Linked DNA regions of Cricetulus griseus. The protein of the gene in region 1 purifies or fractionates together with the protein of each later gene. This does not show direct contact. Links are inferred from orthologs where the notes say so. Each region holds a gene or a part of one and is shown on either strand. Other genes may lie near its edges. The genes, in order: Hspd1 and Sirt3.

Region 1 (4,413 bases):
AGAATGCCTCTCCATTCCTTAGAAAAATAAAACAACTCCACAATGGTTTTCCTTCATGCGCGGTTCTTTGTGAAGTTAAATTATTTCAAAAAAAGACATCTACTATTTTAAAAGCCACTTGGTAATCTAGGATTTTCTACTCCTTTCCTTCCATATCACATATAAGACTCAGTACTGCTGTAGTAGCTCCCAGTTACCTTTCCTTTCGAGCCTGATCCCACAGCCACTACTGTTGCTTGCAATACTTTTCCTTGAGACTTTTCTGGAAGCATAATGCCACCTTTGGTCACAGTTTCGGCGGCACTCCTTTCAACCAATACTCTGTCAAAGAGCGGTAGAAACTTTTTGAAAGCTTGTCCAGCCTGCGGAGAGAAACGTGTTCAAACGGACTGTCATTGCGTTCGCAGCGTCAGACCACGAACAGTTAATACCGCTGCATGCCTTAACCTATAACGGGTCAAACGTCCCAAACTGACAAGAAAAATCTAGGTGTGCCTTTAGAAAATATTCTTGGATGTTTCATACCCTGTATATTTTAGTGCGTGTGGGTGGGTGGGGGGGTGTCTTCATTGCCCATCAGCACCCACACTACCTTTAACCACAACCTTGGTCTCCTCCAAGGTCAAACGTTTTCCTTCTTTAGATTTCTTTTTTTAATTCTAGTAACGCCGGGGAGAGAGTATCAATTTTTGAGCTGGGTCATATATTCTCCAACACAGTATACGTCCATGAAAGCCCTGGCAGGGCAGGTGGGCTACTGAGTGTGCATCCGGGTTCCCGCCCCCTACCCCGGGCTCCTGCAGCACACGTGCGTGCAAAGAGGCCGTGGTGGAGAACCGCATCGGACAGGCCTCGCTCCTGCGGAACCCGGGCGGGCGCCGAACACTGCGTGGCCCCCTGCCCTGCCGGTGCTAAACCGGCACACAGGGGGGGACACCGTGGGTCGCGGGGGACCCCGACCCGCAGGCAGGCCTGCCAGCCCAGGGACACTCACCATGACTCGCGCCGCCGCCGCTCGGACTCTGCACTCGGGCCGCCGCTGCAAGGAGAGTCCTGAGGTCCGGCTCGGGACACGTGAAAAAGCCACGCAGCGCGCAGGCGCAGGCGCACGCGGCCCCCCCCCGCGAGCGTGAGAGAGGGCGGCCACGGCAGCGCGCGCGCCGATTGGTGGCGAGGACTCCGCGCAGGCCGCCGAAGGGGGCAGCCGGAGGCGGAAGAAAAGGGGCGCGCTTTCTAGGCTTTTCCAGGCGGCCCGCTGAGGTGAAAGAACGAGCCCTTCGTCCTCCTCCCGGAAATGACGCCACCTGACCCTTGACCCACGGGAGGCGCAGCGCCCTTCCGGAAGGTTCTAGAACGGAGCGAGGCCCAGGAACCAGCGTAGGGCGGCGGGAGAGGGTTGAGCCCGCGGGGCTGAGACCGCTCGGGTACGGGGGGGGCGGGGCCACCCGCGCCGCATGCTGATTGCAGGGCCCGGGCGTGGGAGGGAGCGGGGCGCGCGCGCACGCGGGGCCGCGGGGCGGGGCCGCGGAGGGAGGGGACTCGGACTCATTGCGGTGCGCGCTCTGCGCTCGGTCCCTCACTCGCCGCCGACGGCCTGCTTCGCCTCGTGCCCTCCCGCCGCCGCCCCGCAGGTACACGGCCTCGACGTGCATGGCGCCCGGGAGCTCGCCGGCCTGCTTCCGGCTGGGCCCGAGCATGGCGGGCTAGGGGACAAGGCTGGCAGCGACGCCGCAGGCTCTGCCGGCCTGTCCAGGCCCGACGGGGCCACGCGGGTTTCATCACGTGCGGCGGGGACCACGCGACCCAGGCCAAGCGCGGGAGCGAGGACGGGCTAGGGTGGGAGCCACTTGGGCCCTCTGGTGCCACCTGCGCCTGGCGCACTGCAGGACTCTTGTCGGAGGGTGGTCGCGGTCCCTTCTCGTCCCCTCTGGCTGCGGGGATGCGGCGCCTCTACTTTGACCTTGCCTGGGGCTCCTTGTCGGGCAGACACGTGGGGCCGCGCGAATGGGCTGAGCTGCGGTCCTGGGTTTTGCGGCCTTGCTAGTTGCTGTGCTACCGTAGCTCCGGGTGGACACCTGGCGTCACTTTTCCTGAGCGGGGTTTTGCACCGTCATGAGTACTTGTATAGTTCCCTGTGCTCTTGCATTTGGAACCTGCCTCGCTTACGCCAGCTTGATTTTTTTGCCCCCCCCACACACACTTTTGGAGTGGATCTGTTCCTAAGGCCGCTTTGCCAGTGAAAGATTAACTCGCGGTGGCAGGAGTGGGTGGCCATGGGGAATGGTTTTGTGTGCTAGGGCTGCAGGTCAAGCGAGCATGGGGGCGGCCTCCTTAATCCGTTGCTAGCAATTGATGTCCTGAAGCTGCAGCGCCGTGTGTGGCCCAGGCGTGGCGGTTAGCAGAGGACTGCCAAGCTCCAGTCTAGCTAGCCTCCATGTTCTGAAGCACAGGTGGACAAGTTTGTCCGTAACTAGTAGTGATCCTTTGCTTTTTTTTTTCCCCCCCTCTCCCAGAAATGCTTCGACTACCCACAGTCCTTCGCCAGATGAGACCAGTGTCCCGGGCGCTGGCTCCTCATCTCACTCGGGCCTATGCCAAAGATGTAAAATTTGGTGCAGATGCTCGAGCCTTAATGCTTCAAGGTGTAGACCTTTTAGCGGATGCTGTAGCTGTTACAATGGGGCCAAAGGTATCAGTATACTTTAAATCGTGTTAATAAAAGAATAGTATTCTGTAGCTGCAAATTAGACAGTATTTGTTAACAAGTTTTATGAAAATCTAATTTGAGTGTAGTACATGTTAAGTGATTTGGGGGTGTTATTTAGGAGTTTCGTTAGTTGGTGGCCTTAATACTGCTGCAGCCGATTTGGGGGACTTTTGTGCAACATGATGTAATAGAGTAGTAATAGCTCAAGGAGGATTTTCAAACTTTAGGCGTAATTAATCTTGTGTGAATGCTTGCATTAAATTTTGGATCCTTTCCCAGGAGTTAGAGGGTATAGAGGGGAAAGGACAGCTCAAGACTAGTAACACCTCAGAGTGTAATTGTAGATGTGAGGTTTTACTTAACTGTACTGAAGTATTACAGTATGCATACAGTAGATGCGATAGCATAGAGTTTAGATTTATTTATATTTTTATGTGCATTGGTGTACTGTCTGCGTGTATACCCATGTGAAGATCCCAGAACTGGAGTTACAATTGTGAGTTGCTATGTGGGTGCTGGGAATTGAACCTGGGTCCTAACCACTGTGGCATCTGTCCAGCCTAAGTTAATATTTGTGACTTCGTTTGCATTGTTCTGTAACTCACCATCACACATCTCCAGAACCGTTTTCACTTGCACATGGAAAAGGCTATCTGGTCTCCCATTTATCCCTCCATTGTGCATACCTCATGATTTCTCTGCCATTTCCACATTCCAAAAGTTTGGTTTGGGGTTTTTAAGAGTCTCGATAGCTTAGTCAGACCTCTAACTCGCTTTGTACCAAGACTATCCTTGAACTGATTGTCCCAGGTATGTAACAGTTTAGTATACTATTCATCTGGTGTTTATTGAGACAGGGTCTTTAGCCATAGCTGACCTGGAACTCCTGTGGACCAAGCAAGCTTGAACCTTGAATCATTGCTGAGATCCAAGGCTGGAGTCACTCATCTGTGTGGTTGAATAAGGAGCCATAGTACTTTGAGGACATAATTGGATGTGGGGCACAGTTGCTTTAAATTGACGTTAAAGCCATCTAAAGAGCTTCGTAAAGTGCTGTTTATATAGGTCAAGACAGAATAGCTTGGTTCAAATCCAAGTTGCCAATACTGTTGGTGTCAGTTTTGAAGTTTTGAATTGCATGAGCAGGAAACAGTAAGTTAAGAACAAACTTACTGGCTGATATTTAGTGAATGGATGTTCAAGTAAATTGTACTTAAAAGCAACAGTTAATAAAAAAGTAATAACAGTTCATAACCAAAACTCGTGTACAAGTGATGGAAGGGTGTTCCAGGATTGGTGATTGTCACCTGTGCTATCTTGTTTAATAGGTGGCATCTCTTTGGGTGGGTGGGGGATGTTATCTACTGTTGTACCTCAGAGTTCCTTTTGTCTATAGACCTAAGAATGTTGATTAACTTGACCTTTGAGATTCACGTTTCAGGACTGTTAAAAGTGACAACTTTGAAGTTTATGGTTGAGGGTTGTTATTCTGTCATTGTAGGGAAGAACAGTGATTATTGAACAGAGTTGGGGAAGTCCCAAAGTAACAAAAGATGGGGTCACTGTTGCAAAGGCAATTGATCTAAAGGATAAATACAAAAATATCGGAGCTAAACTTGTTCAAGATGTTGCCAATAACACAAATGAAGAGGCTGGGGATGGCACTACCACTGCTACTGTTCTGGCACGTTCTATTGCCAAGGAAG
Region 2 (4,485 bases), on another chromosome or scaffold:
CAAGAAAAGCAATATAAACAGCACAGAGCCTGCAACCTGGCCCGAAAATGCCCCCACCAAAGCTTGCAGCCCGAGAAACACTGGGCACTGCAGCTTCACAAGGCCCTGGAAGTTTTCTGAGTCTACAGCCTTCACTCAGGACTCTCTTGATATCTAACAAAGCAGCAATGTCTCCATCACCATGGCAATCTGCCCTGAATTCAGGACCATCAGCCTCACACTGAGAGCTGAGACACTGGGCCAATTCTCCCATCAGATGGCCCTAATGACCAGGATAGAGGCCTCTCCAATCAGATGGTGGAACAGATTAAACATCAAATTGGCCCTCCCCAAATAAATGGCTAAAGTTAATACAGCCATAAAGCAGGCAACTAAGAGTATGTCTTTTACTCATAATACAATCAAGAATAAAGATGCTAACAGTACATCTTCAGACAGGGCAGTTCAGAGCCTCTCTTCTAGCAGGATGATACCAATACAGGGTTTACTCTTTGTCACTGCCTTTGCTCCTTACAAAACTGACTTCTCATCATGCCACCTGCTTTCCCAGAAGCTCTCCTCACACCATTGCCATTCTAGTGACAGTTCTAATCCTTCATTTTAGCCAAACAAAAGGCTTGTTTGTTTTCATGTCCTAAATCCTAGTGATTCTAAGTAACCCTGTCCCAACCAGCATATTCTGCCTGAGAAGCATGGTCTCCTCTTGGGAGTATCATAATCCCACAAGGTCAAATGTTTGCTGAACCCTAAGGATAATCACTGACCCTCCTCTTAAAGGCAACAGTGCTGGCTCCCTCTCCTATTAGGGTGTCTATCAGCTCTCTCCTCTGTGCACCTGCAGTACACAGCTGCCCTATCCACACAGTGTTCAGTTATCCAGGGACTTGTGTGCCAACAGCAAGCCAGGAGTAACCCTGCAGCACCCTGAGCCTCAGCTGACAAGCTCAAAGCAAGGAGGCCAAAGATGACTTTTGTTTTGTTGCTGTTGCTGGTGGTGTTTTGTTGTTCTGGGGGTGAAGAGGCAAGAGCTTTCTCCCAGAATTACATCCCAACTCCTAATTCTTAGTCTGATTTGGAGGAACCTATGTTTATAAACCTCTCACCAGAGTGTACAGAACAACAACAAACAGGAGAAAGACCTCAGCTCCTCCCACACTGCAGAGATGGGCTTCTAAAGAAGGTCCTTCTGTATCACAGTAGGGTATAAACGCACTTTACCAAGGTCCCTCTGCTGAGCCAAGGCAGTGAAACCCTCCAAGGAGCTCCCAGTGAAAACAATAAAGAATGAGGAAAAGAAAGCTCTGGCTCCAAACCCACATCCCTCCCATCAAATACCCGAATCTCACATAGCACCTAGGACGGTTCTTGCCCTAACATTTGCTGAACTCCTCTTAAATACAAACCATATGAGAATACAAAAGGGTCAAGAGAAAAGTTGTGACCATTGCTGAGTGCCTGACAACTGCCAGATATCCACGTCAGGGCACATAAGGGACATTTCTTAGTCACCTGCCCACAAAAAAAAAAAAAAAAGTTTGCAAAGTCACTGACAATATCTAAAACAGATTTAAGGTATAACTTAAAGTACATTTACATGGTATAGAAAGCTCCTGGGATGAAGACACCAGAGGCTGGCATTAAGTAATGTCTGAGATACTATAAAGAGACAAAGGATGAAGTCACCTACGAGTCCCAAAATCTAAAATCAAGAGCAGAAGAAATACAAGGCCTGATCAGGTTTGATCCTCAGCACCAAAAGAAAAAGGGAAAGGAAAAGAAAAAGAAAAAGAAAAAAGAAAAAACAAACAAACTTGTACATCATATTGGTAAACTGCTGTGTGTTGTTTGAGCTACTGAAAAGCTGGCTTTGGGGGCTGGGCTGACAACTCCCATTTCTGACCCATGTTGGTCTCAAAGTCCAAGGTCTGGATGGGCTGGCTCCCCCAACTGTGTGATAGGAAGGGAAAGGAACAGCAAAACAACCCAAGAGTAAAAGCACTGCCCATGAGAACAGCTAGAAGGTGATCCAATTCCAGGAGGTTCCTATCATTTATCCCAGCATGTAAAAGTGCCTACAGAGGAATCTCAGACACCAAGGAAAAGCTCATCTGGGAACTCCAGTTGACTATCTGAACTTCCTCTGTCGGTTTTTGTTGGATGCAGCAAGTGTCCAACTTGATATTGTCTCTCTCTCTCTGTTGCTATTTGTTCCTTTACTGAAAAACTTCAGCAAACGGGGCACTCTTTTCTGCCCTCGACTCTCTTTACTGGAAGCTCCACCTGGCTACCTTAAAGGGGTTTCCTCAGTAGATTTCTACTGGATTTTTTAAAAATATCCAATGTGATGATTTCTCTCTCTTAATAAACTCACTCATTTGAAACTGAAAATAAGCCTATCATAGACCATTCTCAGGACTATACAAAACATATTACTATTCTGCAGACAGTATGACTGTTAGTGAAACTTTAAACTCACAACCTTCATGGGGGACAATTAAAACATAAATAACAGCTGGATGTGGTGGCACATGACTAATCTCAGCAGCTGGAGTTGGAAGGAGGAGGATCGGGAGTTCAAGGTCATCCTCCTTCATACTGCCAGCTGGAGGCAGGTATCGACTAGGAGACCCAGTCTCAAAACAACACAAACCACATAACTTTACACAAGGCAGTAGGTCTACTGGGAATTCATGCTCAAAATGGGGTGCAAACAAAGTTATTCAAAACGTCGTTATTTGCAATAATACGAGATTAGAAACTATTTCGATAAGGAAATGGTGACATAAAGTATGAGACATCCATACAAGGAACTTCCACAGAACAGTTCAAAGACTGTGCTGCAATGGAAATAGCTACATTAAAAAAAAAAAAAAATCTTTAAAGAGATGAGGTACTGATGAGGCCGGTCAGTCGAGCTTTGTGGAAGAGCGCACCTGCCAGCTTCTCACTACCGCAATTGCTTTCCGCTGCCCGCCCCTAAAACACCTCTGACAGCCTATCTGAGGGACCCCGTGGCTTCCCCGCCGTGGCTCACCTCCCGGGCCCCACAGTCTGAGCGCGGCCAAAGCCAGTCGACCGCTCAGCGCCATGATGCTCTGCTGGGAGACGGCACCTAGAGGGTCAAGTGCCATCCGAATCCCCGCCCCCTTGCGCCAAGCCCCGCCCGATACCCTTACCCCGCCCCCTCGGCCAGGTCCCGCCCCCCAGCACCAACGCTCCGCCCCTCACATGGTGCCCAGCCCGGCGCCCCCGGCACGTTAACCCGCCGTGCCGAAGGGGATGTGTATGCTCGCTGCGGCCAGCTTCCCGCTCTGTGAGACTCTGGCTTATTGGTTGGGAAGCCAAACTCGGAGGCGTCATCGTTTTACCCTGCGCTCGACCTTCTAGACCGGGTGGATGATAACTAATGCTCTCTGAGCGCTTCCCGCGGTCAGGAATTTGATCACACCTAGTCCTCGCCGGACGCCATCCCAGTTTGAGAGGACCCACGTCGGAAGACTTGAGACCACTCGGGGACCAGCTGTCCCCGGGCACCTCTACGCTAACGCCTCAAGGGCGGGGCCGAACACGCGGGACAAGTTTGGCCCAAGCCAAGAACGCGGTTACCTTGACGACCGCGATCGGCGGGGCTACTGGGAAGCTCCCGGCATGCCCCGCGCAACGCGGTGCCGGAAGTGAGCGAGCATTTCCGTCCGCCATCCCTGCCGGTTCCGAGTACTTGGTGTTTCTCTTCCCAGCTCTCTGCAATCATGAAGGATGTGCCGGCCTTCTTACAGCAGAGCCAGAACTCCGGGCCGGGCCAGGCCGCCGTTTGGCACCGTTTGGAGGAGTTGTACACGAAGAAGTGAGCTCTGCGGCGTGGGCGGGAGGGAGAGGGCTCTGGGAGCAGCAGGAGGCTCTGAGCAGCCCCGAGGGTCAGGGAATCAGAAGAAAAGGAGCTACAGCCAAAGGAGCAGAGCTGCTTGCTACCAGGGTTCTGAATCTAAACCCCCTGCTTTGCAGCCTTACCGGCTATGACAGACTGTCTTAACTAAAGGGGGGCCCGGACTGGCCTGTGATGGTAGCTCTTAATTCAAACAAGCAAATAGTTTTGAGGCTAGGGTGCCACCGCGTCTGGGTCTGCCACAGACCCTGGTAACTTGTCCTAAGCCGTGGTGTGATTGTCTACAGCCTGCAAATTCTTCATGATTCTACAACCTTTGATTCAGCCCCCATTGTCCCTGCTTTCTGTTGTATTTCACATTGGCCTTTTTGCCACTGGAGAGACCTTAGTGTTTGAGTTTGATTGGAAACGAGATGGACTTCAGAACAGTTACAGATTGCTGACATTGATCTAGAGCTTTCCCTGAGGAAACACCTTTCCACAAAGATCCTTTCCGTTCGTGTGTTTTGGTGGTATTCAGCAGTTTTCTGCTATTAGTGTTTTCAAGAGACGTTTTCAGTGTTGAGTATCTAACTGCCTGTGTGGGCTAACATTTTGTATTC

What was found.
Region 2: the proteins of Hspd1 (region 1) and Sirt3 purify together in Homo sapiens (affinity purification with mass spectrometry; 3 studies listed by BioGRID and IntAct, counting the BioPlex papers as one, with this or other methods). This does not show direct contact. The link is inferred for Cricetulus griseus from reciprocal best matches to the Homo sapiens genes HSPD1 and SIRT3.

Annotation. Positions count from the first base shown.
Region 1 is NC_048595.1:409,526,579-409,530,991, reverse strand, and holds the start of Hspd1 (60 kDa heat shock protein, mitochondrial), read left to right. Parts: upstream 1-1,506; 5' UTR 1,507-1,631; exon of another isoform or gene 1,632-1,712; intron 1,713-2,513; 5' UTR 2,514-2,515; coding exon 2,516-2,689; intron 2,690-4,208; coding exon 4,209-4,413. Other genes in the region: MOB-like protein phocein, read right to left, coding at 198-362, 995-997. UniProt on the Homo sapiens protein: Chaperonin implicated in mitochondrial protein import and macromolecular assembly. Together with Hsp10, facilitates the correct folding of imported proteins.
Region 2 is NC_048596.1:60,311,607-60,316,091, reverse strand, and holds the start of Sirt3 (NAD-dependent protein deacetylase sirtuin-3, mitochondrial), read right to left. Parts: upstream 3,090-4,485; coding exon 3,035-3,089; intron 1-3,034. Other genes in the region: Psmd13 (26S proteasome non-ATPase regulatory subunit 13), read left to right, coding at 3,750-3,844.